Linked DNA regions of Caenorhabditis elegans. The protein of the gene in region 3 purifies or fractionates together with the protein of the main gene of each other region. This does not show direct contact. Each region holds a gene or a part of one and is shown on either strand. Other genes may lie near its edges. The genes, in order: idhg-1, nduf-9, sdhb-1 and cex-1.

Region 1 (7,875 bases), on a different chromosome or scaffold from region 3:
TGCCTGTCACCAAAAACAAATTTTTAAACAATTTAAAACATTTTTAAAAATAAAACAATAACTTTAATTTCTTCAAAAAAAGTTTTTCAATGATTTTTTCAGCGAGGCGGTGACACTTCTCACGACGAGGACTCTCAAAATACAGTTGGAAGTGAAGATGGAGAAGGTGGAAGTCGTCCTTTATTAGAAGATGATGGATTGGAGGATGACGATGATGTATGCTTTTTCGATTACATTCAAAAATTGTAATCTTTAAAAATTACAGCACGAACTGATCTCATCATTCTCATCTTCATCTACTAATTACCCACCACTATTCATTGGAACATCAACTCCGCATACACAGAATCCTATCACGAATCCATTTCTCCGAGATGAGCTTACTCCGAAAATGATCATCACTGCTCCGTTGCCCACAGCAAAAAATAACTTGGATGATGACTGGGATCTTGGAGATCGGTGGACGGATCGGAGAGATACGGTATTTGAAAGACCTGCGTCTGAACATCAAAACGTCTTTGCACCAGCCACATTACCAAGACAAGCAACTCCGTTGGTTTGTCGATTTAAGGTTCGTACAGAAAAATTGTAAAAATATTTTAAAATTCTTCTTATTTTGAATCAAAAAAAAAATGTAACAAAAATAACGCGAAATTTTACGGTACTCGGTCTCGAAGCGCCAGACTTGAGTCAAATGAAAAAAGGCGTCAGCCTTTAAATAGTACTGTAGTTTCAAACTTTCGTTGCTGTAGAATTTTAATATTTTTCGATGAAAAAAAACTAACTTTCGCCAAAAAATGTAATGTAGAAAAGCTTATAAAAACTCATTTTTAAAGTTATTTTTGAGATTTTATAATAGCCCTTTTCAGCCGGATCTACCCACAGCTGCTCCTGTTTCAATAATTCCATCAATGTCAAATACATCGTTTCCTGAAGCTGTTCGAGACTCTGATACAGTCCCTTGTGAGCCAATTATTGGAACTTTAATTTCTGTTGGCGCACCTACGGATCCACCACCACCACCTCTTCCAAAGAAACCAACAGAAGCTTCTCCAACACAAGAGACGACTGCAACGATTCCAGTGGCTTTGGGTAAAAAGGAGAAATTGTTGAAAAAGGAGAAGAAAAAAGAGAAAAAAGATGGGAAGAAGGATAAATTAAAATTAGAAGAATATCGAGAAAAAGGATCCTCTGAACCTGAAACCGATGGATCTGAAGCTGAAATATGGACGAATGATGGAGCAACAACTTTTTCGAATAAGAAAAAGAAAAAGAGCACATTTGGATTACGATCATCACATCCATCAATTGTTGCAAATGATTTGCAGTTCTCTTCTCCAATGCCTCCAGTTGTTAAAAAATCATCCAGTCAGTTTTCAGATTTTTTGTCGGTTTTTAACAAAAAATTCTGAAAAAGAAAGTTATGAAATACGAAAAAAGAGTTTAAGATTTTTGAGTTCTTTGATTTTAAAGAAAATTTAATATTTTTGTAATGAAATTCAACCTTTTTTGATACATCTAGTCCCTACTTTTCTGAAAATAATTTATATTTTTCAAAACTTTTTTAGAGTTAATCTTTTAAAAAAGGTTAACAAACAATTTCGGAAAAACTGGAATATCCGATAATATGAAAATAGCCAAAATATGAGGCTAGGTTTCAAAAAATCAAATTTTTAAAAGAAATTTTCATATTTTTCTAATGAAATTCAATATATTTGTTTGTAAATAAAGTAATAAAGTTTCGATCTTTTCTTTTAAAAAATTTCCGATCGCTAAAAAAATAAAACTGACCAAAATTTTAAAGTTTGTTTCAAAAAGAAACTGAAATTTTTGGTTTTTTTAAACAGAATAATTTACGACGACCCTTCCGTATAGAAAAACTAATGTTTTATTTAAAATTAAAATTTACTGTTTCAGAAGATAAAAAATCGTCACTGACTGGCAAAAATGCATCATTTGTGAATACATCCTTCCAACCGGAAGATCATGATGATCCAACCGACTTGTAAACTGGAATTTTTCATATTTCTTTTTATATATTACACAATTTGTTCTTTTTAGTGATTTGCAATTCACCCTCCCCCCAAAGTTGTCGTTGTGTCAAATTTAGAATCACTTATTTTCTCAATTATTTATTTTCTTTTGGTATTTTCCCGCCAATGTACTTATGATATGTATAATATGGAATATGCTTTCCTTGTAATTTTCATATTTTGGTATCCACCCACGCATGTAGTTGTGATAGACTCAATCTCCCAGTTTCATATGCATATTTTCTGTAATTTATTAATTCTTTTTTCAACTTTTTTTCTGCAAGTTTTAGTACAATTTTTCTGACCCGAAATAAATTATTTCGAATTGAAATGTTCGATCGACATTTGATTTTGAAAAAGAACTTACAACGCATGTTGCTTTCACCAGACCATCCGGTATATTGAACTAAAATTTGTATTAGTTCAATATTTCCTAGATAGTCTGGTGAAATAAAGAATAGAATAGTTGTGGCAAAAAATGAATAATATTAAAGTGAGCTAGGGAGCATTCAAAAAGATACAGTAGCTACAGTAGTAAACTCCGCCTTTTTTCAAGCAGCTCTCAAGTATTGACTAATTAGGTTAAGAGCATATTGGTGGGGGGAGTACTTAACTTTGTGACAGTAACCTAATATTAACATTATTAACAGAGTATCGAATTTCACTAAACCAATTTTATAATATTGTACTATACTGGAAATGAGAAAAATTCAAACAATCAGAAAAAATTAAAATCCAAAGAAAATTGTGGGTACAGAGATGAGGAAGAAAGGAACAAGATAAGAGACATCAGGCGGAAACGTTCAGTCAACGGGGTCAAACAGAGAAAGAGCACAATGAGTAACGCATTATGCTACGAATCATGGATTAATCGAAAAAAAAACAGAGGAAAAGAACGTAAGGGTAAAGCTAGCCACTATGTGGGATGTTTCAAACTTTCGATTATCAGGTAGAAATTAGACACGGTAGTTGCGGTCCTCGAGCTCCTTCTCGATGAAGTCGAGTACTGATTGAACGAGTTCCGATGACTGAAAATTTATTAAATTAAAGTTTTGTAGTGCATTTTTAAAAAGTACTTATAAAGTTAATGTTCTAAAAAGTGAAGTCGTTTTGAAGTTTTGCTTAAAATCATCGAAAATGGACCATAATAACTGTAAAAAAATTTATAACATTTTTTCTATGATTTTTCCAATTTTGCAAGAATAAAAAATGTGAGTTCCGACATTTTTGCCTTTTCCGGCAATTTTTCAAATATTTTTTCCGCAAAGAAAACTTCATAAACCGAAATAAATTCGAAAACATTTCAAAAATTAGCCTAAAACTCGATAATTCATAAATTTCTTTGCGGAAAATGTATGTGTGTTTTATACCAAATACTAAAAAAACAAAATTAAGAGTAATCACTCAGTACAGCCGAAAAACGCAAAAAAACTATTCTACTTATTCGCGCGGAAATTCAGAAACACTTATCTTATTTTTTAATTTTGCAAAATATTAGAAAAATTGTATAAATTTTTAAATTACGGTCCATTTATGGATATCATCTTGAGCAAAATTCCAAAACGACTCTACTCTACTTTTAAATAAAGAAAAGGTAAGAATTTAATATATACAACTTTAGAAAATTAATGAAATTCTTACCTTAGAAGTTCCTCCAATATCAGCGGTGTGAATTCTCTTATCAACAAGCGTACGGAACAATGAATCGGAGATCATATCGGCGTGTGATTGAAGTCCGAGGAAACGAAGCATATCAACGGCGGCACGGATGAACGCAGTTGGATTGGCAAGATCTTTTCCAGCAAGAGTGGTTCCGGTGTTACGGGTTCCCTGAAAAAAACAAATGTTATTTAATATTTTCATCAATATGCTAACTGTTTCAAAGACGGCGTAATCTTCTCCAATGTTCATTCCAGAAACAAGTCCTGGACCTCCGACGAGTCCACAAGCAATGTTTGAAATGATGTTTCCATAGAGATTTGGCATTAACATAACATCGAATTGTTGTGGGCGTGAAACCTGGAAATAAATAAGGATTTTTAATTATTCGTCTTTTTTCAGAACATTTATTTTGATGAATAAATAAACAACCCACCAACTGCATGGAAGCATTATCGACAATCATAGCATTGAATTCAATATCTGGATACTCGGCCTTGGCGATATCAGTGGCTACTTTAAGGAAAAGACCGTCTCCCAACTTTTGAATGTTGGCCTTGTGAACAGCAGTAACCTTCTTTCTTCCATATTTCTTTGCGAATTGGAATGCAAAACGAGTAATTTGTTCCGATTTTTCGCGAGTAACAACCTTTAAATTTGAAATTAGGACTAAATCTCAGTTGATAATCCCAACCTTCAAAGATTCGACAACACGAGGATGTGGAGCATTAACGGCTTCGTGCTCATTTCCAGAGTACTCGCCTTCAGTATTCTCACGGATGATAACCATATCGATTCCCTAAAGCTTTTCATTTGAAATTTGTACAAATCGATTTAAAAAAATTCTTACAGTGTGTCTGCTTGGAACAGTTGGAATAGTGGAACAGTGAAGAACGTTTGCGTAAAGATTGAGTTGACGACGAAGTTCCAAGTTTCGGGAAACGAAGCTTGGGTTATCAAACTTAGTTTCAATGTTTCCCTTCAAAAAAAAAAAATTAAATTTGATTTTAATCTTTCAACAAAAATACCTTCAAAGCAACACCATTTCTCTTGATAGCAGTGATAGCCTCAGCAAGATCTTCAGATGCATCTTCCTTTGAGGTCAAATTAACCACTTCGAAATCTACTGGAGCTTGAACTGCTGAAAGGATTCTCTCGACATGATGGAGCATTTCTGGTCCAATTCCATCTCCTGGCAAGACTGTGACGTTGTGACGTCCTCCATAACGAGCCAGCTTAGTCTGAAAATTGATATTAATAGCAGATAAAAATGAATTACTTACTGTGTTAGTTTGAAGAACTGGAGAACGGAATCGGAGCATATCGGAGTTCGGTGAAGTCGCGACGAACGCCTTTTGCACGACATTCTTCGAAGAGCGAAGTGTATGACCGAGGACGTTGCTCGACATCTTGTTTTTACCTGAAATGTTAAAAAAATGGAATTTACTAGAAAAACAACAGTTTAAAAATGTACTTTTAAAAGTGCATGTCAGAATAGTAGCCAATTTTTTAAATAGAAGGGTATAGTATATTTCAAAACTTTAACAAAAAACATTAAATCTTCCCGATATCATCATTATCATTATGAAAACTCAGATTTATCACTAAACAGATAATTTTCAGAAATTATATGCACAAAAAAAGAGGGCGGAACGAGCCGACCGATTGATTTGCAAGCGCCGCACGTGTTTCTCGCAATTCCGCCGCGCGACATTTTCATTTTCGTCTTTTATGTTTATTTTGTCCATTTTCGTTCATTTCTATCTATTTCAAATATTTTTGCTTTTTCTCTCTATTTGAGGGTTCATTGGTTTGTGTTTACTTCTAGTCTAGATTGCAATTCAAGCCAACTGCCGGGGAAATCCGGGAATTCGAACAGCAGTTGGCGCTTGATTGATTTTCGCCGCCGAATTGTTGTTGCTTCGTTGTTTTGTTTTGTTGGTTGTCTCAAGCGCTTATCAGGTGATCTATTAGTGATTTTTGTGTAGAAATAAATGTCTTAGGATTGTTCTTTAAAGTTTGTTTCATTGAAAACTCTTTGAAATAGTTGTTTCATGTAGAACCTGGCACGCCTTTTTCCAAAAATAGCGTCTATTTCTTATACAGAAATCGGTATCCAAGAAATAGTTTTGGCTGAAGTTACAAAGTCTTTATTATTTTATTAACTACTATTTAAAACGTTAACTGTTACTTGATTATCTTTTTATTTGTTCGTTTTGCTGATTTACATGCTCCCGGACTGTTTCGAGAATGTTTCGCGCTATGAAACTGTTATTTTCCCCCATAGATAATTATTTTGTAGGTTGATGTAAATAATGCTTCGTCGATATTCACATTTTTACTCGATTCGATATTCTTCCACATTATTATCTACTTTAGACGGACTCACAAATCGAACAAGTGGAGATAAGTTACTCGTAAGTTGAACTATATTTTCCAATTATTTGAAAAAATTTTATTTTTCAGACTTATAGCGAGAAGTTTTCCAAATTATATGCCAATTCCACGCCAGAAACTCGAAAATCGATTTTCGTAGATCTCGTCACAAACTATGGTGTAAACAAAGAAGCCCTAAATCATGCGATTTCTCTATATTCTAAGGTTGGTTATTATCATTGACATCGTATGACCAAAAATTGTAAAGTTCAGAATGATCAAATGTACCCGGAAGTAAGAACATCAGCAACAGCTTCTTATGTGAATTTGATAAAATCAATTGGAAATTTACCGGGAGGAGTTATGCAAGTCTGTGAAATGAGGGCTAATATTTTGGTATTAAAATTAAAATAAAATTAGCATCGAATATATAATTATTTTCAGGCACTTCTAAAACGGGAAACTGACAAAACTACAACATCATATCTCCGTCACATTGAACTGGCCACTAGAGAAGTATTAACTTCATGGTTTTCTTTAGGAAATCTAAAATTGGAACGACTTACGTGGTCATCTCCTGGAGATATTCTACAGAAAGTCGCCGAATATGAGGCAGTTCATCCAGTTAGAGGACTTTCAGATTTCAGAAAACGTCTTGGTCCGTTGAGACGGTAATTATGAAATAAAAATAAAAAACTAAAATTTCATTTTCTCAGATGTTTCTATTTTTCCCACGAAGCTCTTCCCCGGAACCCACTTGTGATGGTTCACGTGGCATTAGTTGATGAGATAGCGGATAGTGTACAAGAAATCACAAAAAGAGGAGCACCGACTGGAAAAGAAGAAGATCAAACAACTGCAATTTATTATTCAATCACTTCTACACAGCCTGGTAAAATTTAAGAAATGTATTCATTACATGTTTTATTCGTTTTCAGGTCTTTCTGGTATTGATCTCGGAAATATGCTCATCAAGAAAGTCGCCACTAAACTTCAAAAAGATGTTCCATCAGTCACAACTCATTCAACATTATCTCCGATTCCTGGTTTCCGACCTTGGCTTATCAGAAATCTGAAAGGGAATTCAGAATATCGTAAGCTGTACATTTTTAGACAATTGAGTTACTTTCAATGTTTTTTCAGCTTCAATTATGAATGAAAAGGTTGTCAATTGGATTTCTGATATATCTGAAAGGGAAATGAACGAAGTAGAAGCAACCGAAACTCTACTGAAAGTCATAAGCAATGAAAAAACGAAAAAGGAGCAGCTCAATGCAATCCAGCACATTTTGATGTACGCGTGTGCTCATTATCTTTGTAATGCAAAACGAAATGGAATGGCTTTAAATTCAGTTGGTAAGCATGATTTTATCGATAAGCATTGAAAAAAAAATTATTTTAAGCAAACTTCCACATTAGAAACGGCGCAGAGTTGTATAGACTGAATTGGAATGGAGATACGAGTCATAGAGGGATCAATAACAGTTTTGGAATTATGGTAAACTACAGGTATGACTCGGTCGAACCTTTTTTGAGTCTAAAAATTTAATTTTCAGATACGATTTGGAGAAGGTTCACGAGAACAGTGCAGCTTACACTGAACACAAAAAGATGGCGATTAATCAGAAAGTTTTGGATATCTTCTGAATCTTTTCACCCAGCTCCTCATATGTATTCGAGTTTCAAGAATTTAGTCTAGTTAATGTGTCATATTATACTTGTAACAAATTCGTGTGATTGCTTGCCCAGTTTCTTGTGAATAAAATTTTCGAAATTTTAATTACTTAGTGCATTGTTTATTATGTCA
Region 2 (10,535 bases), on a different chromosome or scaffold from region 3:
TAAAGCAATAATTGAATTAATTAAATTATTTTTTGTAGAGTTCCTGTGTGAAAATTTATTTAAAAATCGATAATTTTCGAAAAGAAATCCATTTTTTGTCGGAAAAAAAAGGAATTATTGATTTGTTTTGCTAATTTTCGGAACAGCCCAAATTAAAATCTGATTTAGTTTATTTTTCCGAAAAAAGTCAATAATTACCAAAAATTATCGATTTTTCGTTCATTTTCGGACAAAAATCGATAATTTTTGAAAATTATCGATTTTTTAAAGGAAATTTGATTTTACTGATTTTTTGTGCTCTTTTTTCTTATTTTTCATAATTTCTCAGGATTCTTATAATTTTTTTTCAGAATTTTTGCAAATCTACCAATTTTTCCCATCAAAATTCTCGATTCATTTACGCGTATAAATACAAAATTCAGTTTTTTCTAGAAAAAAAATTTAGAACCAAAAAAAAATTAAAATCGCTCTATTTAAACTACCAAAGACAACACAGAAATCGAAAAAACAATCGATTAAAAAAAATCTTAATTAAAAGCGACATTTTTGCTCGTTTCCGACTTGATTCCAGTTGCTCCTCGGCCAGTGTTCTTTTTGGTAAGTGGTGGTGAACGAAGTGGAAGTGATGGAGCCGGAAGTTCTCCATATTGTTCTTCGAAATATCGATTAAATGATCGATAAAATGCTTGTTGTCCACCAGCCAATTCGAATTCAGTCAATCGGCGGACTCCGAGGTCGGCGAGAGTTCTTTCGCCCGTCAAAATGTCCGATTGTACTTCCTGAAAATGCAAAATTAGAAAAAATCAATAATTTCCGTAAATTATCGATTTTTTCGCGAATTTTTTAATCAAAAATCGATAATTTTCAAAAATTATCGGTGGAAATTTTTCTATGCGATTTTTTTTCAACAATTCCGATTTTCAATTGAAAAATGCGAAAAATAGAAAAAAAAATCAATAATTTTCAGAAATCTTTGTTTCAAAAAAAATTCCGCGGAAATTTTTCAACAAAAAATCGATAAAATCACTTTTCCGACAAAAAATCGGTAATTTTTAAAAATATTAAATTTTTTTTATTTTTTTAAGATTTTATATTCGATTTTTCTTTTAAAAAAATTCCGATTTTTATCTGAAAATTACAAAAATAGCAAAAAAAATCGATAATTTTCAGAAAATTTTGAATTTTTGTCGGAAAATCGGAATTTATCGATTTTTTGAAAATCAACAAAAAATCGATAATTTCCGTAAATTATCGATTTTATTCGCTAAATTTTTTTTTCAAAAAAAAAAATCAATAAAATCCATTTTTCGACTAAAAATCGATAATTTTGAAAAAATTTTCGATTTTTTTCGAATTTTTTTGATGAAAATCGGGTTGTTTCCGCCACTTCTACAAAAAAAATTCCTCAAAATTGTGCCTACGCCTACCTGATTTAACAATTCAACGGTAGGCACAAGGCAGGCGTAGGTAGGCTTTCCGAAATTTCCAATTTTTTGACTCAAAAATCAGTTTTTTTTAAGTGTTTTTCACTTAAAAAATGGATTTTTCCGTAAAAATTGCCCGATTTTTGGCGGAAAACCGATTTTTAATTAAAAAAATCTAAAATTTGAGGCGTTTTTGCTCATTTTAAGCCCTAAAACCTACCACAAACTCCATCCATTCTCTGTTGAGTGGAACTTTACACTTGAACACTTTACCATAGAGTTCGGTGGCCATTGTGAGAGCCATGAAATATGGATCCGGCATTCCGTGACGCTTGTATCTGCAAAAATTTGAGCTTTTTCTCGGGTCCCGCCACGAAAATAATTGAAAAATTCGCGATTTTTCTCGAAATTTCACGCCTGGGTCCCGCCGCCACGAAACAATACCTCGCGGGTTACTGTACTCAAGAAATTTTTTTTTTTCAACTTTTTCGTGGCGAGACCCAAAAAAAAATGTAGTTTTCACGATTTTTACGTCTAAATTTATATTTTTTAGCCAATTTTCATAAAGTTCACGTTAAAAATCATCAATTTTCAGTGAAAATATTGATTTTTTTGATTTTTTAAGGTCTCGCCACGGAATAATATCTCGCGGGTTACTGTACTCGTGAAATTTTCGTTGCGAGACCCGATTAAAGCTACAAGCCTAGAATTTTGAGGAGAATTCGAATTTTCAAAATTTCCTGATTGATGCACAACCCATGTGCCTTTAAATTTGAAAAAAATAAAGTTTTCGTGGCGAGACCCAGTTTTCACGATTTTTAAGTCCAATTTTCATGAATTTCTCGTTAAAAATTATCAATTTTCATGATTTTTTTGCCCAAAAATTAGCAATTTTCCTTCATTTTAGGCCAATTTTCGGCGGGAAAATCGAAAAACCGGGTACCTGAATCCAAAATCAGACAAACAATGCGCTTTTTTGTACATGAAATCAATCAATTCAGACAATTGATAGCAGTGTGGTCCAACAAATTCATAAGTATGTCCTTTTGCTGTTGGATCATTTACAGCACTTTGAATTCCGGCGGCAACGTCTCCAACCTGCAAGAAAATCGGAATTTTTCGCCAATTTTCTCGAAATTTTGATCAATTTCGTTGAAAACTCGGCAAAAAATGGTAAATTTTGAGCCAAAATTTGCAAATTTCTGTGAATTTTTTTTGAAATTTTACGGATTTTCACTCCTTTTAATGAAATTTCGCGCGAAAATACCGTTTTTTAATGGAATTTAACCAAAAAATTCAATATATATACTTGCCATTTTTAGCAATGTTTCAACAATTTTTTTCAAGTGAATATGGGAAATTACCGAAAATTGGAATTGATAACATTTTTAAACGATTTTTTGTATGTTTTTCGTCAAAAATCGTCAATTTTCTTCAAAATTTTCAATTTTGGACCAAATTTCAGCCATTTTTTGTCATTTTTGGCCAATTTAAACGTTTTTAAAGCTTTTTTTTTTATTTCGCTTATTTTCGCAAATTCCACCGTTTATAGGCAGTTTTAGGCCGAATTGTATGTATTTCGAGTAATTTTTTGAATTTTCAAACAAATTGGGCCTATTTTGAACAATTTTCACTCATTTTTGGCCGATTTTTCTTTTTTAAACTAAAACTAAAAACTAAAAAAGCAACCTGCAAGAAAATCGAGATTTTTTTAGTGATTTTTCGCCGATTTTCTCGAAATTTTGATCAATTTCGTTGAAAATTCGGCAAAAAATGGTAAATTTTGAGTTATTTTTACTGAAATTGTGCGAAAAATGAATTGAATTTTGGCAAAAATTCAAGGTTTTGAGTCAAAATATCCAAAATTTGGTCATTTTTCGCAATAAAATGGTGCCTACTTATGCCTACCATCAATTTTTTTTCGGCAGAAATGGACAATTTTAAGCCAAAATTTGCAAATTTCGGTGAATTTTTCTGAAAAAATCATCATTTTTGATGGAATTTAAGCAAAAATTCGAGATTTTCAGTCAAAATTTGTCATTTTTAGCAATTTTTTGACAATTTTCTGTGTGAAAATCGAAAATTTTGTTACATTTTTGAGGAGAAAACGATTTTTGCCAAAATTCTACCAATTTTCGACTAGTTTTATCAAATTTTGGGTGAAATTCCGAAAATTTTCAGTTTTGTGCCAAATTTCAGCCATTTTCAGTCATTTTTGGACAATTTAAATGGTTTTAAAGCTTTTTTTCATAAAATTTCGCAAATTCCAGCGTTTATAGGTAACTTTAAGCCTCATTTCCTTGAATTTTGAAATTTTTTTTCTCTAATTTTTAAGCAAATTAAATAAATTCCATCAATTTTTAGCGAATTTCACATATTTTGAGCAACTTTATATGAAATTTCGAGACTTTTCATAAATATTTGGACTCATTTTAATTGTATTAAAAGCCAATTTTTATGAATTTTGACATTTTTCAGTTCATTTGGATTTATTGTAATGAATTTTGAGTCATTTTTTTCAATTTCAAGCGAATTTTCATGAAATTTCGTAGATTTAGACCGATTTTCACGGATTTTCGACTTTTTATTTTTAAAATTCAGTTATTAGGTCAAATTACACCATTTTTGGCCGAGGTTTTGAGTCAAAATATGCGAAATTTGGACATTTTTTGCATTTTTTCGCAAAAAAAAAATTGTGCCTACTTTATGCCTACCGCCGCCTACCATCAATTTTTTTTCGGCAAAAATGGACAATTTTAAGCCAAAATTTGCAAATTTCGGTGAATTTTTCTGGAATTTTACCGATTTTTACATTTTGATGAAATTTAAGCAAAAATTCAAGTTTTTCAGTCAAAATTTGTCATTTTTAGCAATTTTTTGACAATTTTCTGTGTGAAAATACGATTTTTGCCGAAATTCTACCAATTTTCGACTAGTTTTATCAAATTTTATGAAATTTTGGGTGAAATTCCGAAAATTTTCAATTTTGTGCCAAATTTCAGCCATTTTCAGTCATTTTTGGCCAATTTAAATGGTTTTAAGGCTTTTTTTTCATAAAATTTCGCAAATTACAGCGTTTCTCGAATTTTGAGTAATTTTTCCGATTTTCAAACAAAAATTGGTCATATTTTGAACAATTTTCAGTAATTTTTGGCCGATTTGTTGGAATTTTTGACTTTTTAAATTTAAAATTCAATTTTTAGACGGACTTATGCCAATTTCCTTGAATTTTGAAATTTTTTTCTAATTTTTAAGCAAATTAAATAAATTCCAGCAATTTTTAGCGAATTTCACGTATTTTGAGCAACTTTATATGAAATTTCGAGACTTTTCATAAATATTTGGACTCATTTTATTTGTATTAGGCCAATTTTTATGAATTTTGACATTTTTCAGTTCATTTGGATTTATTGTAATGAATTTTGAGTCATTTTTCTCAATTTCAAGCGAATTTTCATGAAATTTCGTAGATTTAGACCGATTTTCACGGATTTTCGACTTTTTATTTTTAAAATTCAGTTATTAGGTCAAATTACACCATTTTTCTCGATTTTCATGAAATTTTCTACTTTAAAAAAAAATTTTTTTTCGTCATTTTTGGCCGATTTTCACGTATTTTAGGTCATTTTTCATGAATTTTCGCCCAATTTTCAATATTCAAACAATTTTCAGCCATTTTTGAATTTTTATTGACTAAAATTCAGTTTTTTGGTCAAATTACTTCAATTTTTTTGAATTTTAAGTAATTGTTCAGCATTTTTGGCGAATTTCACGTATTTTGAGCTTTTTTTAAAATGTATTTTATGAAATTTTGATTAATTTCGTTCAAAATTCGGTTGAAAATGGATTTTTCTATAATTTTAATCAATATTAACGGAAAATAAAATTTTTTTGACAATTTTTAATGTGAAAATCGTAAATTTTCAAAAAATCTCGGTTTTTGTGAGTTTTTCGTTAAAATATTTAATTTTGTGCCAAATTTCAGCCATTTTCAGTCATTTTCGGCCAATTTTCACGTATTTTAGGTCATTTTTCATGAATTATCGGCCAATTCCGTACCCAAATCGGCATTTTATACGTTTCTTCTCCCTTCTTGTACAAATACACATAATCCAATGGAGTTTTTCGCCATCTTGACACATAATATTGAATAAATCCATCCAATTCACCGTAGATCACAGATGGGCGAATAATTGTTGCTTCTGGGAATTCTTCACGTACAGCAACTTCTCCGAGTCCTTTTGAATGAAGAAATTGCGATTTTGCGACAAAATGTCCCTTTTGTGGTTGTGTAGTTGCTCCGAGAGCCGACAAATGCACAAATTTCTCCACACCCATTTCTTTGCAAATTCGAGCCAAACGGCGGGCTCCCGTGTCGTTGACGTCATAGTAATTGTACTTTCTGCAAGGAAAAATGGCTTAAAATTGGGATTTTTAGAAGGAAAAAGTGGGGAAATTTGAATTTTTCAATAGAAAATGGCAGTTTTCTCGAAAATTTTGGAGAAAAATTGAGCAATTTAGTTTTTTTTGAATTTTTTAAAAATATTTTTTGAATTTTCAGTGAAAAAAACGGCGCGAAACTCAAAATTTTGAAGATTTTTCGGACATTTTTCAAATTTTTAGCCAAAAAGTGGAGCCAAATTCAAAATTTAAGGGGATTTTTCAATTTTTAATTGATTTTCAGTTGGAAAAAGTGAGGAATTTTGAGTTTTTCAATGAAAAAACTGGAAAAAAAGAGCTTTTTTTTTGAATTTTGAATGATAATTTGGTGTAAAAAAATTTATTTTTTGAATTTTCAGTAGGAAAAAAGGGTTAAATTCCACATTTTGAAGGTTTTTCAGGCATTTTTTCGAATTTTCAGCGAAAAAGAGTGATTTATTTGGTCAAAAACGGCGCGAAATTTGAATTTTTTGAATTTCCGGCATATTTTGTGAATTTTTCCGCTCAAAAATCTGCAATTTCCTCACCCAGTCGGCACACGAGTTCCGATCAAGTTGATGACGACGTTCGAGTACTTTACAGCCTGAAAAATTGATTTTTTCTGGATTTTCTAGAGAAAAATCCAATTTTTCTCGATTTTCACCTAGAAAACTCTTTTTTTTTCGGAATTTTCTAGAGAAAAAACCTAATTTTTCTCGATTTTCACTGAGAAAACTCTATTTTTTCTGAATTTTCTAAAGAAAAACCCATTTTTTCTCGATTTTCACTGAGAAAACTCTATTTTTTCTGGATTTTCTAGAGAAAAATCCAATTTTTCTCGATTTTCACCTAGAAAACTCGATTTTTCTCTCAATTTCCACGAATTTTAATACCTTTCGAATGCTCTCCTCATCCATCAGCTCAAATGGAAAATAGAGGACTTGTCCGAGCTCGCCGAGCACTTTGTGCTCTCTCATGTAATACGGATCCTGGCGATACGGAATAATGATTTGTGAGCCATTTTTCGCGAATTTATTGACAACTGGAAGTCCCAAGAAGCCTGACGCACCGAATACGGTCACCACATTGCCGGAGAAGGAGGCTCTGCAAAAATTTGGAATTTTTAACGATTTTTTTTGGGAAAAAATTGATTTTTTTTCAATGTTTTTTCAATTTTTCCTAGATTTTTTCCACATTTTCCAGTTTCAAATCATTCTTAGGCTTTTCCTGTACCTTCCACCGGCTCCCTTTCTGAATTGAGCACTCTGAGAGCTGACACGTGGCTCCGGATGAGCATTTTCGGCGGAGGTGACCGCGCTGCTGAAATTCTGACTTCCAACGACCGAAACCGCCTGCCGGGCGCCCAAGCCGGATCTACCCAACACTGATAGCATGGCTGAAATTAGGAAAATCGAGATTTGCAATTGTTTAAAGATTTTTAAAGATTTTTAAAGACTTTTTAAGAATTAAATGGGTTTTCTGCGTTTTTTCGGGATTTTTTCCAGCTAAAAATAGCTTTTCCGGTCGAAAAAATCGATTTTTTATCAAAAAAGCACCGAAAATAGCGAAAAAATCTGGAAAAACCGCTAAAAATGGCTGAAAATGAAGTACGCGGTGCCGAAATAAATAATTTGGCCTGTACGCAATATGGCGTCGGGTTTGACGTTTGCGGACTCGAATGCGCACTTGGAAGGGCGGGGATTGATGACCGTACTCCAAGGAGGAATGAGAAGCTTTGAAATTAGCAAAAATTGGTGAGAAAGGCGGTTTTAAAGAGAGTTTTCAATCTAAATTGTTGAAAAATTAATGAAATATTACTTTTCTTGTTTTACATTCAAGAAAAATTATTAAAATCTTTGAATTAAATAGAAATGCGAAGTTTTCAAGGGATTTCTTCAAAATGTGCGAAATTACAGAAGAATACTGGTAGATTAAACTGAAAATGACATCAAAATTCTCAATTATTAATATTATACGCTATCGAGATAATAAGCATTTATGGCTACAATGTATACGCCTCTCAAAATTACGTTCACATTGCTTTGTGGCTTTGCTGGTAACTCTTTTGCCTTTCACGCAACACACCGGGGTTCGACTCCGCACTGTGGTTCTTTTCTTTTTTTTTCTCGATTTAACCAATTTTAGTCAATTAAAATTCAAATTTAACGATTAAAACCAATTTATTTATCACGTGGAACCCAGAAAAGGAGAAAATTTCGGCCTAAAAAAGTTGAGACACTTGTTAAACGCCGGATTCCTGAAGCAATTCGAGCTGCACTCGGCGGCTAGATTCGGCTGGTCGACTGAAAACATTTCATGGCAAAGTAGGCATATTCTCGTGAGCACTTCGTTTAGAGCCGGTCGTCGGTAAGCCTGGAAATCAAAAAATATTCCGAATTCTTGAAAAAATGCGGAAAAAATCGGCGAAAAACTAGGGTTTTGAATGATTTTTCTCAAATTTTTCAATTTTTTTCAGCGAAATATCGAATAAAAATCGATATATCTCCAGAAACCCCCGAGATTTCCACCATTTAAGCAAAATTCTCAATGGAGCGCGTTTGCAGCTTCGTTGTTCGCTAGAGCGCACTTACTTTGCAGTTCCTCGAATGGTGGTCGGGGCGGGAAAATGAAAATCCGGCAAACGTGACGATAAGTAAGAAGAATACTGGAAAAATCAATGGAATTGTTTAGGCCACAGTGGTTTTTTGGCAGATATTTAGAGTTTTAAAAAATAATTTTCACAGAAACGTTGGCCGAAAGTTAATTTCCAGCGGCGAAATCGCGGAAAAATGGAGCTTTTCGAAGAAAAATTTCGTGGCCTATTTTTTCAGCTGGTTTTTCTTGGCCACGTCTTAAAATTTGAAAAAATTTGATTAAAAAGCAAATTAAGCACGTTTTTCAAAATTAAAAGTGAAGACATAACGCGTTTCTCGAAAAATTTGCAATTTTCTAGAAAAATGCTGCGTGGCCTAACTTTTCCGGTTATTTTTCTAGGCCACGTCTGAAAATTAGTTTTTTATTGAAAAGCAACGAAATTTTTCAAATTTTTCATACTAAAACTGAAAAAAATAGATTCTTCACGGAAAAATTTCACTTTTTGTGAAAAATTTCCCATGGCCTAACTTTTCCGGTTTTTTTTCTCAGCCATGTCTGAAAAATTAAGAAAAATTTGGGGAATCCATGAAATTATGCATGTTTTCTACGAAACATAATTGAAAAAAAAAACGGTTTTCTGCTAAAAACCATGCGTGGCCTAACTTTTCTGGATTTTCTAGGCCACTGAGCCCGAATATGGGGTTTCTAGGCCACGTGGGTCCTGAATCCAACAATAACTTACATAAGTGGTTTAATCCGTTCATTTTAGATGAAAAATAGTAGAAAATTTCGGAAAAATCTTTTGGAAAAAAAATTTCCGAAACAAAAATTTTTTTGTTTAGAAAATTTTTTTTTCCAACAAATTTCCAAATTTAGCAAATAGGTCTTATTCCATTTAAAGGTCCCCTATATATATCGTGTTGCGCGGGAGAGGTGTCATTCGATACAATACGACGTAATTTCCTCTTCCAAAGAGGCGAATTTGTGTCCTCTTCCGCCCAGTTTTCTGAGATTTTGCACGATTTTGGGCGGTTTTTTTTGGGATTTTTGCATTTTTCAGCCGGAAGCTTGCGCTAGACGCGATTTTTGATTACTCACGGGATGGTTTTAGGGGTATATTGTAGTTTTTAGCAGGGGTAGGCATGGGCCCCTTTCACTGGGGATTGGTGACGTCATAGGGGCTTGAAGGCGTGAAGGAGCGAAAAAATTGATTAAGAGGGTATTTTTGAAAAGAGTAATTGGAAATAGTGGAAATTTGAAAAAATTTCACGGTATAAGTTATCTAAAAAAAATTTTTTTGGACATTTTTAAAAATTTTTTCCAAACTTTTTTATACTTTTTTCTCACAGAAAAATCAGTTAATACATCCTTTCCTGTTACAATAAAATTCTAATTTCCTAAAACAAAACTCAAAAATCTCAAAATTCAGACTTCGAACCTAGTTATCTCCCGATACATGCGTTTTAAGTTAGCGGTGACGAGAGAGTGTGGGGAGGGGAGACGCAGGCGGCGCGCGCGCTCTCGTCGTCTGCGTCTCTCCCCCTTCTCTTTCTCTCTCTCTTCGCCAAGTTCAAACGCCCGTATCTCATTAACGGTTGGAGATATCAAAAAACTTTAAATTGTAAAAAAGTTGAGCATGGAATTTTACATTTGATAATTAACACAATTATGGATTTTTGCGATTTTTTACAATAATATTTGATCGAACAAAGTTTCAATATAAAGCCCATTCGAATAGTTTTTGGAATCCCAGCAAATAGTGAAGAAAATTGAGTTCACATCTTCATACTTGAAATCCAGGCAGTCAGATGTGTCGGTGGAGCACGAGTTTTGTAGGGCAGCGTCTAGGAGGACGGCTCTCTGGAATAAGCATAACTCCGCGGAAAATCTTGATTTTCAAAAATGTTCAACTAACAATTTGTAGTGCTTAAAATTTTACACATTTTTATATTTGACAACTTTTTGATAGCTATTATTTCCGCGGAGTTATGCGCCTTTAATGATAAGAATTTGAGCTACTCCTTCTGAGCGCGTCTAGTTTAAAAGCGCATAACTCCTTGGAAAAAATAGCTATTAAAAAGTTTTCAATTAACAAAA
Region 3 (7,211 bases):
GATGAGAAGAGTAAGAAAAGAGAAAGATGTTCAAAAGCATAAGCAAAAGGAAGTAGCAGCTTGGGAATGGCAGGGGACCAACGTAGTGCTCAATTTGTTGTCATTGTTTAGCTTTTGAAATCTCGAATGTATTAGAAAAGCGGACAAGGTGACATTCGTCGGCTAGGCTCAATAAGAGAAATATCGACAAAAAATGCACACACATTTCCTGCATTCGAGTGGCACCAAAAGGAGGTGCTGCTGCAGTTGCCGATTTGACAAACATGGAAGCCAAATTGACGAGAACTAAAAAAAGGAGAGAGGAAGGTATTGAGGGGAGTGTTGGGAGCACCGACGTGTGAATGAATGACTGCAGCAGCTTGAACACCTGTCTGGTACACCTGGTACCGGATATGGATGTCTCGGAATATTCCCAAGAATAAATTATCAGGAAATTACTTAGATGTCGTATTCGGATGTTATAAATGGCTCAGGAGGACTATTAATTTTCAATTGCAATGTTTTTTTTGTTGAAAAATTATTGCTAATTTGGAAGAAAAAAAGTGAAAGCGGTTGACTGGTGTCCATCCATCGAACAACAACTATTTACATGGAATGAACCCGACCGATAAGAAGGCTGCGCGCGCGCCGCCGCTTCTCCTCCGGACGATATACGCGCATCCCTCTGTGTGTGTTAGAACAAACAGTGTATCCTCCTTCTTGGCCGGACGGAGGAGAAGAACTCGTCGTCGTTTTTCACTTTTTCACCCGGATTGTTGGGTTAGAGCACGGAGAGCAGGAGCAACATGCGGTTAACAAGCTCGTTAGGACGGTCATTTCGGCGACTTCTCGTTTTTGTGGCGAGTGGAAGAAAACCAACATAAAAAAGTTCGAAAGAAACATGTGAGAAAGTGTCTGAATTTTGAGATAGATTAAGTCTAATTTGCGGGAGAGAAGTGTATAGATGGAGCATCTTCAGGAAATCGGAAAGTTAGAATTTTGGAAAGAAGAAAAATAGAGTTAGAAAATAGAAAAATAGAGTTCAGGCAAGGGAAATAGTTTGAGAAAAATAGATATTCGTGATGATAATTAACATCAAAATAATTTAAATAGAATTCGAAGTAATTGAATTTGAATTGCAATTTTATCACAAATATACAAAAAGAACAAAGTTAGCAAGAGAGCATCACAGGAAAGAGAACACAGGCACGTATTCGGCAAGGACTAGGTTTCGAAATTAAATTTCAAACAAATATAAGAATTGGATCAATTTGAGCAATTGTTATCGTGTCTGATGGATTGGTACATTGTATAACACAGAAGATCCTGGAGAAACACGACTAACAAGATCTGCATCCGACATTCCCGATGAAAGAAGACGTGATCTTTGGCCATGTGGATCTGATAGACGAGCATCTGAACGAAAATAATATAATATATTTCAAGGAATACAGAAAATCTTACATTGAATAAGACGCCTCGTTTCACCGCCACCCTGAATGTAGCTGGCAGCATAAAATAGAGCTGTGAGCAGCAATAATGTTCCAAAAGTGATCATAATTCCAAATAAATCACGATTTCTGTCTTGTTTTTCAGCACATTTCCACACATCATCCCATAAATGAATTGTATCGTTCATCGTAGTCTCCACGTCGACACAAAAATCTACATCTGGAGTTGTGTAGATTTTCCAGTAATATCCAAAGAGTTCGTCAAAGGTGGTCTTGCAGAGATTACAGATTTTACTTCCATTGGTAAGATTATCATCCAGTACACCTCCAGATGTGTAATTAACAACACAATTTCTCCATTCATACATTCTGTTCTGAAATTGCATTGTCCTCTCACTGAATGACACTTCCGATTTGTTTTGCGGAAAATTCCATTTAATTGTTATGCAGGCTGAAAAATGGGAATTTATGATTTTTTTTGCCGATATACTCACAGTCACATCTGGATTTTTCCCAAATTTCTGAAGTTAAAGCTTTTGATATATCCGTACTGTACGAGAGCAGATAATTGTCATAAATAACTTGAGAGCAAGTTCGATTATCCAGGGAGTAGACATTATTCTGTAATAAAATTCATATTTTATGTGAAGACGGTTTTAAAAAATATTGTTTTCAAATTATACTCACCAGGTTTTTTGTTTCATATTCAAATTGTTTGAAATTAATGTAGTTTTGAAAGCATTTTGTGCAAACTACAGGTGGAATTGACCAGTTTGTGGCGCATGCTACCATTTCCGATTGTACAACAGCTAGTTTCTGAAATAAAGATGTTTAGTTGCATTAAATACTTCGAAGAATCTTACTTCCACATATTTTTGACAGGGTCCATCCAAATCCCAAGGATCATCAGTGATCGGCGCTGTTTCGAGCCGCTCTTCTCGAAGAGAAATCACGGAAAATATAAGTAAGCTGCAGAAAAGTATCCTTGAAAGTGAATTTACCATCTGCAAAATAATTTTTATTAAAAAGAAAGCATTTTCTAGCTTTAATATAGTTTTAAAACTAAAATAAACAAACAAATAAATAAAAAACAAAATAAATGTTTGCCCGTAAATCCACACTCAAACTATAAACAACATGCACTGCGTTATTTCGGAGTCTCGTTACAAAAAATAAATAGTCACGTCCATTATTGTCTCATGTTTTTCAACAAATTTCTTTGTATTTACATTTTAATTTCTATTAAACTTTGATTTATTGAATAAATCTCAGATGTTGGCCCGTTCGGCTCGTCTTCTGCACTCGGCGGAGCTCGCCGCCAACGCCATTCGTGCTGCTTCGGGTACGTTTTTTAATTTTGGTAATTTTCCATCAAATATGGTACTTCGTGTGGAATACTAGAAAAATTAAATATAAATTATTTAGGAAAGCATTTTTTAACGAGAAATATTAGGCTTTACCCGAGATTTCACAAGGTTTCGTGTTTTGCACGTAGGCAGCACTTTTTCAACGTTACTATTTTTTAATAAGACGACAATTTTTTATGTTCAGCTTTATTTTGTTTAATTATCTTTGAATAATTTTTCTAACATTACATGAAATTGGATATGTCAGAAAATTATATTATGTCTTCAAAAACTAAAATTTTCCATTTTACACGTAGGCACTGAAAGCTGTAAAGCTCGGTCGTGTTATTAGATGAAAAACGCAGATTTTTTTTTAAAAATCAAATACTGTTCCGTAAATATTAACCATCATTCAAAGTTCTGTTAATTTAAAAATATCAGTTTTGGAATTTCTTGAATCAAAATTTAAAATTCAAAAAATTTGAGAAAAGGGAATTTATAAATTTATAGCAAGACTTTATAATAAACAAAAATAATGTTTTGAAAAACGTTTTTTTAATTTTGTTTGAGCTCAACGTTGCAAGAATAATATTTATCCCTTAAATTCACCATTTTTAACACTATTTTATTGGAACTGTTTCAGGAGCGCCAGCTACTGCAGCGGCGGCTGAAGCCTCTTTTCCATCAACTGATGATGTAGCCGCCAAGACCAAGAAGACCGGAAACCGTATCAAGACGTTCGAGATCTATCGTTTCAACCCAGAAGCACCAGGAGCCAAGCCAACTGTGCAGGTTGATTTTCAAAGTTTTTTTTCTTTTTTTAAAATTTAATAGTTATTGTAGAAATTCGATGTTGATCTTGACCAATGCGGAACTATGATTCTCGACGCTCTCATCAAGATCAAGAATGAGGTCGATCCAACTTTGACTTTCAGAAGAAGTTGTCGTGAAGGAATCTGTGGATCCTGTGCCATGAACATCGGAGGTCAAAACACTTTGGCTTGCATCTGCAAAATCGATTCGGATACCTCAAAGAGCACCAAAATCTACCCACTTCCACATATGTTCGTTGTGAAGGTATTGTTTTAGAATCTAAAAAAAACGAATAAACCTTTTATTTTAGGACCTTGTCCCAGATATGAACCTCTTCTACGCTCAATATGCCTCTATTCAACCATGGATTCAAAAGAAGACCCCATTGACTCTTGGAGAAAAGCAGATGCACCAAAGTGTGGCTGAACGTGATCGTCTTGTAAGTTTCAGTATATTTTCTGGTGCAGAAGTATTTGAAAAAGCATAACATAATTTTTAACTCAAAAAAGTTTTAAAATGAAAAACATTCATTTTTTCAAACGAAATAAAAGTCTAAAATCAATAATTTATTCATGATTATCACAACATTATAAAGTAATTTATATATTTAGGATGGTCTCTACGAGTGTATTCTCTGTGCTTGCTGCTCCACGTCATGCCCATCCTACTGGTGGAATGCTGATAAGTACCTCGGTCCAGCTGTTCTCATGCAAGCCTACAGATGGGTCATCGATTCTCGTGATGACTACGCCACCGAACGCCTTCACCGTATGCACGACTCTTTCTCAGCTTTCAAGTGCCACACCATCATGAATTGCACAAAGACATGCCCAAAAGTTAGAGTGTTCTCTGTTTTATATCTCGACTTAAACGAATTAATTTCAGCACTTGAACCCAGCTAAGGCCATCGGAGAGATCAAATCGCTGCTTACTGGATTCACATCGAAGCCAGCCGCTGAGCCATCAGCATTTTAAATAAGAAAATTCCATTGTTTTGCCTAGATTCGATGTAATATTTAGCTCTGGTTGATCGATTGTCGCTTCTTTTCGAAATACCCGAATTATCTATCCCCGTTTTCCGATGTCTATACCACGAGCCTCCTCTTTTTGCACAATAAACGGAATTGGTAGATAACTGTAAAAATTTCGTTTGATTAAAATATAAAAGTCCCCGAAAAACATTGCACAATGAACATTCATTTCTATCAATTCAACTCTTCCTAACCTTTTCGTGTTCTTTACTCTACCGACCCAATCTGAAACAAGTATGATCCTTTGTGTGTGTCTTCCTCTCCCAGGGTCGAGACAAAAACATAATTAGTTCGATAATATGATACTGACAGGTTGGCTTGACAAGTAAGATGAGAACAGGAGGACGGAAAATTAAGACGGAAAATTAATTACGGGAAGTTAGAAAACATTGAAACTACCCGGATGCTGAGAACAAAATACAAAGGTTGTAAATATTGACAAAATTTTTTGATTTTCAGTTTGAAAAACCTTTTTTTCTTTTGAAATTTCCCATGTCAATTGCAAGAACTTTTCAATTTTCTGCTTTCAATATGTTTTCTTCACTATCATAAAACTACTATCATAGATCTATTAATTTCTTAAAAATTAGAAAAAAACTTTCGTATATTATATGTACAGACTTCAAATTTTGTCATTTTTGCGCCGAAAATACGGTATCCGGTCTCGACACGACATATTTTGTGAAATTTCAAAACGAATGCCCTTTAAAGAATACTGTAGTTCCAAACTTTATTTTCGTAGATTTTTCATAGATTTTGATTCAAAAAAATATTTATTTATTTAAAAAGGTACTGTAGTTTTGGCGCAAAACACGGGTACGGTTGCAGAAAAGTTCCGCTCGTGCCAAGACCCGAGATAGTTCGATTTATTCGGTTTATCAGTTGAGCGATTCGACTCATAATTTTTTAAAGTACTATGGGATTTGTGTATTTTTACCCCAAATTGAAAATTAAAATTGAACTTGATATGTATGTATGTAGATCAAATTTTCATACTACTGTTATGGAAACATTGGAAGGACGTGGAAACGGAATTATTATTTCTCTATAAAGTATTGTATTTATGAATAAAGGTTTTAATCACAATTTCTCGTACAATCAAACTCCTCATGTTCATAAATATCGTACAATTTTGTTTTCTTGGTCCATAATGTTTTATAATATTACGTCATGTGCAATTTCATAAAGTTATTCGAACTCTTACATTCAATTATCAATTTTGGAAACAATCTGTCACCAAAAGGCAAGCCAAGACTCTCTGGGGGATCACATAACTTCATAAACTCGCCAAATTTCGTATCTTCAAACTTGTGTATCTTGAAAAATAAACGTCTAGGAAACAAATACTCAACTGATAAAATGTTTAAAAATATTTTATATATTTTTTGCATTACTTTACAGTTTTCAATATTCAAACTATTTGTTGAGTTACACAGAGTAAAAGCCATTTTACCAAAAATCACAGGAATTTTTGAGAACTCTTCTGTTGTACCAGTCATAACTCAACATCGATTGAGTTTCAGAAGTAAAATGTTAATGAATAATAATTGCAAGATATTTTTCCACATTTTATCAGTTAGAATTTTTTTGATATTTTTATGTTCAGCCAAGTTACAGACCGTTTTTCGAAAAAATATCGACTTGAAATTTTGAACAATGATCACTTTTTTGAGGTTTCTACAATGTCCTAAAAAATCTTTCAAAAATGTTGGCTCATCTCCAAAATCGTCCTCCGCTCTGAAAAAAGAAAGTGGACCTTTGCCTTCCGAAAAATGGACGAAAAAATGAAATTGAGCTTTTTTGGTCGAAAAAAATATTTTTAGAATGCTGAGAACACGTTAAACACGAATATCATGTTTATTTTGAGATCCGGATGTTCTGAAAACGTCTGACGTAGATTTAAAAAAGCATCGATTTATTTTCATTTTCAACGTGAAAGTTTTGTGCAGCTTTTAGATTTCAAAAGAATCTCAAAATTTAGAGTTTTGAGATTCTTTTGAAATCTAAAAGCTGCACAAAACTTTCACGTTGAAAATGAAAATAAATCGATGCTTTTTTAAATCTATGTCAGACGTTTTCAGAACATCCGGATCTCAAAATGAACATGATATTCGTGTTTAACGTGTTCTCAGCATTCGAAAAATATTTTTTTCGACCAAAAAAGCTCAATTTCATTTTTTCAGAGCGGAGGACGATTTTGGAGATGAGCCAACATTTTTGAAAGATTTTTTAGGACATTGTAGAAACCTCAAAAAAGTGATCATTGTTCAAAATTTCAAGTCGATACGTTGGATATGAAGAGTTTTATGAGCGAAATTGGATTTTTTCGAAAAACGGTCTGTAACTTGGCTGAACATAAAAATATCAAAAAAGTCTAACTGATAAAATGTGGAAAAATATTTTTTTTTTACTATCCAACAAAAATTTAATTCTGAAACTCAATGGATGTTGAGTTAAGACTGGTACAACAGAACAGTTCTCAAAAATTTTGGTAGATTTTAGGAAACTATCTTTGAATCAGTGTAACTCAATAAATCCTTGCTACTTTGTAATGAAAATTGATGCAAAGGGAAGAAAAAATATTTCTAATA
Region 4 (6,080 bases), 3.9 Mb from region 3:
ATTGCACCAAACTCTGATATGCGAAAATCTTTAGAAATTTCTGAAAAACTATAAAATTGCAAATCCCAAATTTAGCAATTTTACAGTTTTTCTGAAATTTTTTTCTGAAATATTTACGATATAGGCATTTTCTGTAATTATGTCCCGTGTTGCCTACAACAATTATTCAGAAATAAATTCATTGAAAACTGTCGAAGATCAATATTTTCAGTTGAACATTTTAATTCTTCAATCAATTTAAGTTGTGCATCTTTAAAAAATGAAGAACATTTCGCATTAGAGGAAATGAGAATAAAAAAAGCGAAGACACTTTCATCTGTTCAGAATTGAGATGCATAAATTGAGAGACATGTTTTTTAAATGGTTGTGGTCTCACTTTGAACGACAAAAGAAAACCAAATATTGTAAAGGAATAGTACAAATAAAAGGGAACAAGTGATACCAGCTGATGGATGTAGGTCAGCGACAAAAGACAGGAGACGTATAGTTTGATGATTATGGAACCAAACTCAGAATTTAATGTTGGAGACGCTATAAAAATTGAATTGAGAAATTGAAACCATATTCTTGAATATCTCTCAATTTGGAATTTGGAAGTAGCCGTAAAATCGGCTAGCTAGAACATAAAAGGACTGATTTGCAACCTTGACCATTCATGATATCATTTCAATAAAAGAAGAGATTCCAATGACCAATCTTCAAGAATCACAATAATCACAACAAAACTAAGCAAAAGTAACAACAAATTGTTCAGGTAGACAAGTAGACATTTGGACACATTTTGCGGGGATGTGATGACTGTATAATAAAAATAAGTGGACACTGAGAGAGAGAGGAGGTCAGCAGGAAAAAAGAACATCGAACTGCTTGACGAATTGAAATTAGAATGAGGTGTCAGGCAGGTGACGATTACATGGTTAATTATTAGTGTTCTTTTTCTTCTTTTTGTGGATGCCGATTAGTTGAAATAATTGCATGGAAAGTGAGAATTCAATGTGAATCTCTTTCTTATTATGTTTCAAGTGGTATCTGGATGGAAGCTTGTACTTTTATGAATCGAAAATTGCGCCCAAGGTTGATTTTGAGATTATTCAGTAAATTTTTGTGCTGATTATTCAGTTAATGTAGAACAGAGACGCGGATGAAAACTTTTTTAATTTCTAAAAAAAAAGACAAAATGTGGTTAAAAAGTTTGGAAAATAATTGTTATATACTTCTTGAGAGCTTATTCAAACGGAAACCAATCATAAATAGTCGAATAGTCATTTAGAAAAGAGAAACTAGTTGATGTAGAGAGATTCAAAAAGTAAAATATGCAAATGATCCGTTTCTTAGATTTAGTAAACATTTACCAAATGAAACAGGAATTGTCGAAACAATTTAGAAAAGGAGAAGGAAACATTTGTTTATTTTCCCCTTTAAATGGCGGTAGAGGTAAAACAGCAATACACATAGTACAAGGTTATACTACTTTCAAAAGAATTTGACATCCCGCCGAGAAAATGTGGTGATTATATGGTAAAGTTTTCAGTTGGATATTATCTTCTACAGACGGTGATTCAAAATGATCAAAAGGGCAAGTGGGTGGTAAGATTTGAAAAATTGAGATATAGAACGTGCGATTTTGGTAAAACTTTTTGAACACAAGGCATATTTTTGAACTTTGAAAAACGCAAAATTTAAATTTTGTTAATTACATATATTTTGAACAGATTATGAATATAAGCAAGGCTACATAAAATATGTATATTTTCTTTTTACAAATATTCGTACACTGTTAAATTTATAGAAAAATCATTTATATTCAGAAAAACCTATTTGAACAATTTTTAGTTGCTCAATAACCAATTTGCACAAATTTAGAAAATATAATGGGGGCTTTTAAAAATTTAAATCCTCAGCGAATATTCCTTTGCGATTTTTTCGAACGTTTTCTTTCAGATTAAAAAATCTGAAGCAGAAGTAAATGAACTACCATAGAAAATTCACCAAGGATCACATTTTTACAAAGCCTCCGCCCAATTGTAAACTTGGGAATTTTTGCTTGTTTTCTTTTTTTTTTCAAAAAAGGAATAGTTGTTTTAAAGTAATTTACTCCCCTATGCTTTCTCCAGCAATCAGTTGTTCTCCCCATACTTTACACAATTATCAACAACTTCACATAGAAAACAAAACAACAAATCAGAAATTCCCACCGGTCACAGTCACAGATTCCCCATGTTTTGTTCATCTCATTTCTGCAAGAAAGTGACATCGCTGCCACCCAATTCGACAAATTGTCCAAGTGGTCATCAGGAAGATATGACCTTCTTTTTAATGATAATTTAGACTACAAAGGGCGTCAAAAAAGATTCAATGATCAGGGGTAATTGCTGTAAAATGTAGTTTGTATGTGTGTTTACCGTAGCCTATAACTGTAAAAATTGGTTTTTTAAAAAGTATTTCTGAGATTAAAAGGCTCCCCAAGGATGCACGATTCTAGAAGAAAAGCGGTGATTCTAAAGTAAGTTCCAATTTCAAATTTCCTAAACTATCGCATTCTGAAATTCCCCTCTGTTCTTTTTTTTTCTCGTAAACACGATAAAGCCATTCCATTATCCATTAAATTCATTTTATTATCTTCTCCCAATCTCTGGATCCCTTGATCACTGATCGCCGGGATTGTCAGCTGGTGGTCCACTCTTTCCCACGCAGTGTCACAAAAATAATGGACGCACATGTGTTGTCTGTTATAAGTTTAGATCAGGTGGGAGACAGAGAGAAAATGGGTCAGTTGGGGTGGGAGGTAAGCTATTTTAGATATAGAAGAAATGTTTTTAGGTTATTTGATACCTGAAAACACACGTAGTTGTTTGTAAACAAGAAGTACCCTTGGAATTGAGCCAACTTTTTGAATAGGAGGAATTTTACAGTCATTACGAGTAAGGCTTTCGATAAATTATTTTTGAATTAAACAGATATCTTGACTCGCTTGGCATTTGGCTCCGGTTTCTTGCTCAGGCGCGGCTCAAAAAATATTTTTTGGCACGTTATCCCAGAGTTCAGCTTTTGCCCAAGTTTGGCCAACTTCTGATTCGCGTTAATAATTTCTGGGCCAAACTAGGGCGAGAAACTGGAGCCAAATGACGAGCGCCTCTATTTTTTGCGACACTTGTGCTCTATAATTTCTCAATTTATTGAATCTCAAATATGTTTTGAAACCGCAAAAATATAGTTACTGCTTCTAAGAGCAAAATACAATGGCTTCATTCAGCGGCTTTTCGTAAGCTTCCAGTTTTTACTGCCAAGTCTTTACTGAAAAGTCAGCAAAAAGAATTAAACCATTGTATGTTATGCTCTTTCCCTTCTAACAATCCAACCAACAAACAATCCCGAGTTTTCCCGAGCCACTATAAAAATTTAAAGTTTCTCGGAAACTTTTTATTTTACCCAAACATCTGGAGGATCATTCATCAAAATTACTTGTTTGTCATGATTTTATCTGAATTTTTATGCTCAAGCACATCTGGTGTCAGAGACAAATTAAAGGTTGTATGTTCAAAAATAATACTATATGTTGTAAAGCATTAGAAAAGTAGTGGAAAGTGAAGGGTTTTCAGAATATTTTAAGGGTGTGGGGGATGAACAATGTACATGGTATAGAGCAAGGAAAATTTAAAAGTCAATAATTCCGAAGAGATGATTTCCAACGTCAGATTTATTTGTTGAGTAGAACAACTGATGGAAGTATGTGTTCCAGGTCTCTGGCTTCATTTGTGGAACGTATTGACCTTTCTTGTCCTGAAATAATTCCTTTTAAATTAATCAAAAAAATATTTAAATCCCACCACTGAAAACTTATGGAAAGCTGCATCACACTCGGATTGATCAAATCCATATGTACTCATTCCATCGGTATACTCGGCAAGATCCATGACTCCATCACAGGAAACATCAAAAAGTTTGAACATAAAGTTCTGATAGTCCTTGAACCATTTTGGTTCAGTCTTCGCATCGGTCTTCTTCAAAAGTCCGATCCATTCATCAATCGAGATCAATTGATCCTTATCAGCATCAGCAATGGAGCACAGTCCTTCCCAGAGAGCAGCAAGAGATTTCTTGGCAAAGCCAGTTTGAACTGATTCAGCTCCGTAAATGTCACGGACTTTCTGGAAGGTTAAAAGAAAATAATAGAATTTAGAATTCTAAAAATAATTCTCACCTTGACAACCAAGTAAAAATCTCCCCAATCGACTTGATGAGAAGCATTTCTATCTGAAACATATAATTGAAAGTAAAAAAGAGTGGGAAAACTAACCAAAAAATAGTGAGAAAATGCGTTCCCACTTCTTGACAAGGAACGGATCAACATCGGAATGTTTCTTGATAAGATCTTCAATGGAAACTGCTGCTGTAGGCTTTGCAACAACCATTTCTGAAAGTATAAGATTTGACTGAAAATTATAAAATTATGAACTTGAGAAAGTCTAGAAATCAAGAAAAAATATCTAGAAATGAACATTCCATGGGTTGTGAAGATGCTTTTATCTCACTTTAGAATGTCTGACTCCGCCCCTCTGTGTACGAATTGAAGTGCTCTTTTGTGATGATCATAGCTCCTCCTTGCGGCGACGCCCGCACACAGCACGAGATATTACACGGAATACTTATGTGATTCATAGGAAACAAGGAAATCGAAAAAATAATAGGATTTTGAGGAGGTATTTTTAGATGAATGCTTATGATGTTATGATGAACCCAAGAAATTCTGAATAGACATATGTCAGAACGGGGTAGGAGCTCCAGTGTCGCTTTTGAAATAAAAAATCAAGTGGTATACTTCTCGTATATACCCTTCTGAACTAATAAAATAATTTATCTTTTGAAAAAGTTTGAAAAAGAAAAATGCCCAAAACTTGAATTTTAATGTTTTGTATTTTGAGCATATCGTTCAAACGTCGTGATCTGAAAGTAGAAAGATCTAAATATTCGTGACACAGTTTGGTTTGAAGGTCTTAGTGGTAATTTTTTATTACAGAAGCAACAAAAAGTTGACATATTTTCAGAATTTCCAAAAAAACGTTTAAAATTTCAATTTCTTCGATAGAGTTCTAAAAATTTTTTGGAACGGATTTTGTAATATCCGCTGATAACCGTTCAAGAACAATTTGAATTTTGAAATAATTTAATCAACTAGTATCCAGTGCTCTTTCTCACTGCTCCACCCATTTTTCAACCCATTTCCTTTACTCAATTTCGCCCGTTTTCCTTTTGCTCAAATGTGCCCACCAAATCATCTTTCTTCGTCTTCTTTTCTCTTATTCGGAAGGAGAAGAGGTGAAAGTAGAATACGTTTTTTTGTTGAAAAGAGAAGAGCACTGCCACTTTTCTCTTATTTCCATCCTTCTACTACCTCGTTTTACTTTCCATTTAAAAACCCGTTTAAAGTTCCAAAATTTCAATTATCTTGCTTCTGTTTGGAACACGACAAACTTTAGTTTTGTTACAGATATGTTCCGAATATCAGTTATATTTATTTGGATATTTTTACAATTGGGATACACAATAGACTATAAAGTATCAGTTTTAATTGTTTCTGAGCCGAATCAAGAAACTTTCAAAGAATTGAAAGTTTCCGTTACGGTAAGTTTTGAAATTTTTACTTTAAAAACTTACAAACTCGGCATTATAGAAGAAGCTCCAAACTTTTAAATTAGCATATTCATATTCACAAAATATCATATTTTCAACTTTTCTTCTTAATTTCTTTCAGGCGGCATTCGTGGAAGTTTTTGGAAGCACATCATATCACTTGGGGAATGACACTATTTCCGCAGCTTTTGTAGATGCAAAAAGGTTTTCGAAATTATTATTTGTTGAGCTTTTCCCCCGAGAAAGACATTTCTTATATTCAGTGGAGATAATCGTCTGGAATTGACTCAGGATATTGTGTGCAGCCAGATGCTCAATCACTCATTGGCTTCTGTTATATTTTCTCCATTACTGACATCATCTTCAAGATTTATTGATTTGGTTACATCATCAGCATATACACTTTCATTTTACAAACTTCCAGTTGTTGGAGTAATGGTTAGAGATGC

Evidence for each region.
Region 1: the proteins of sdhb-1 (region 3) and idhg-1 fractionate together in Caenorhabditis elegans (co-fractionation; one large-scale study listed by BioGRID). This does not show direct contact.
Region 2: the proteins of sdhb-1 (region 3) and nduf-9 fractionate together in Caenorhabditis elegans (co-fractionation; one large-scale study listed by BioGRID). This does not show direct contact.
Region 4: the proteins of sdhb-1 (region 3) and cex-1 fractionate together in Caenorhabditis elegans (co-fractionation; one large-scale study listed by BioGRID). This does not show direct contact.

What each region holds. Positions count from the first base shown.
Region 1 is NC_003281.10:4,566,250-4,574,124, reverse strand, and holds idhg-1 (Isocitrate dehydrogenase [NAD] subunit, mitochondrial), read right to left. Parts: upstream 5,113-7,875; 5' UTR 5,102-5,112; coding exon 4,976-5,101; intron 4,934-4,975; coding exon 4,721-4,933; intron 4,672-4,720; coding exon 4,543-4,671; intron 4,492-4,542; coding exon 4,387-4,491; intron 4,342-4,386; coding exon 4,129-4,341; intron 4,053-4,128; coding exon 3,909-4,052; intron 3,864-3,908; coding exon 3,675-3,863; intron 3,062-3,674; coding exon 2,990-3,061; 3' UTR 2,260-2,989; downstream 1-2,259. Other genes in the region: Serine/threonine-protein kinase sel-5, read left to right, coding at 103-216, 266-571, 870-1,368, 1,918-2,009; mlcd-1 (Malonyl-CoA decarboxylase, mitochondrial), read left to right, coding at 6,008-6,109, 6,159-6,293, 6,342-6,464, 6,513-6,739, 6,785-6,960, 7,007-7,162, 7,212-7,424, 7,472-7,577 and 1 more.
Region 2 is NC_003281.10:3,241,337-3,251,871, forward strand, and holds nduf-9 (NADH dehydrogenase [ubiquinone] 1 alpha subcomplex subunit 9, mitochondrial), read right to left. Parts: upstream 7,240-10,535; 5' UTR 7,238-7,239; coding exon 7,077-7,237; intron 6,948-7,076; coding exon 6,737-6,947; intron 6,448-6,736; coding exon 6,392-6,447; intron 5,827-6,391; coding exon 5,484-5,826; intron 2,523-5,483; coding exon 2,368-2,522; intron 1,763-2,367; coding exon 1,645-1,762; intron 780-1,644; coding exon 528-779; 3' UTR 381-527; downstream 1-380. Other genes in the region: Y53G8AL.4 (Apple domain-containing protein), read right to left, coding at 8,031-8,216, 8,435-8,508, 9,181-9,202; Y53G8AL.3 (CUB domain-containing protein), read right to left, coding at 10,125-10,298.
Region 3 is NC_003280.10:9,348,223-9,355,433, reverse strand, and holds sdhb-1 (Succinate dehydrogenase [ubiquinone] iron-sulfur subunit, mitochondrial), read left to right. Parts: upstream 1-2,702; coding exon 2,703-2,772; intron 2,773-3,419; coding exon 3,420-3,568; intron 3,569-3,619; coding exon 3,620-3,853; intron 3,854-3,899; coding exon 3,900-4,028; intron 4,029-4,200; coding exon 4,201-4,425; intron 4,426-4,474; coding exon 4,475-4,564; 3' UTR 4,565-4,720; downstream 4,721-7,211. Other genes in the region: cup-15 (Coelomocyte uptake defective protein 15), read right to left, coding at 1,262-1,395, 1,444-1,881, 1,925-2,051, 2,118-2,246, 2,294-2,434. UniProt on the Caenorhabditis elegans protein: Iron-sulfur protein (IP) subunit of succinate dehydrogenase (SDH) that is involved in complex II of the mitochondrial electron transport chain and is responsible for transferring electrons from succinate to ubiquinone (coenzyme Q).
Region 4 is NC_003280.10:5,446,015-5,452,094, reverse strand, and holds cex-1 (Calexcitin-1), read right to left. Parts: upstream 4,415-6,080; 5' UTR 4,413-4,414; coding exon 4,298-4,412; intron 4,255-4,297; coding exon 4,202-4,254; intron 4,149-4,201; coding exon 3,828-4,148; intron 3,781-3,827; coding exon 3,655-3,780; 3' UTR 3,461-3,654; downstream 1-3,460. Other genes in the region: nmr-1 (LITAF domain-containing protein), read left to right, coding at 5,491-5,622, 5,753-5,835, 5,895-6,080.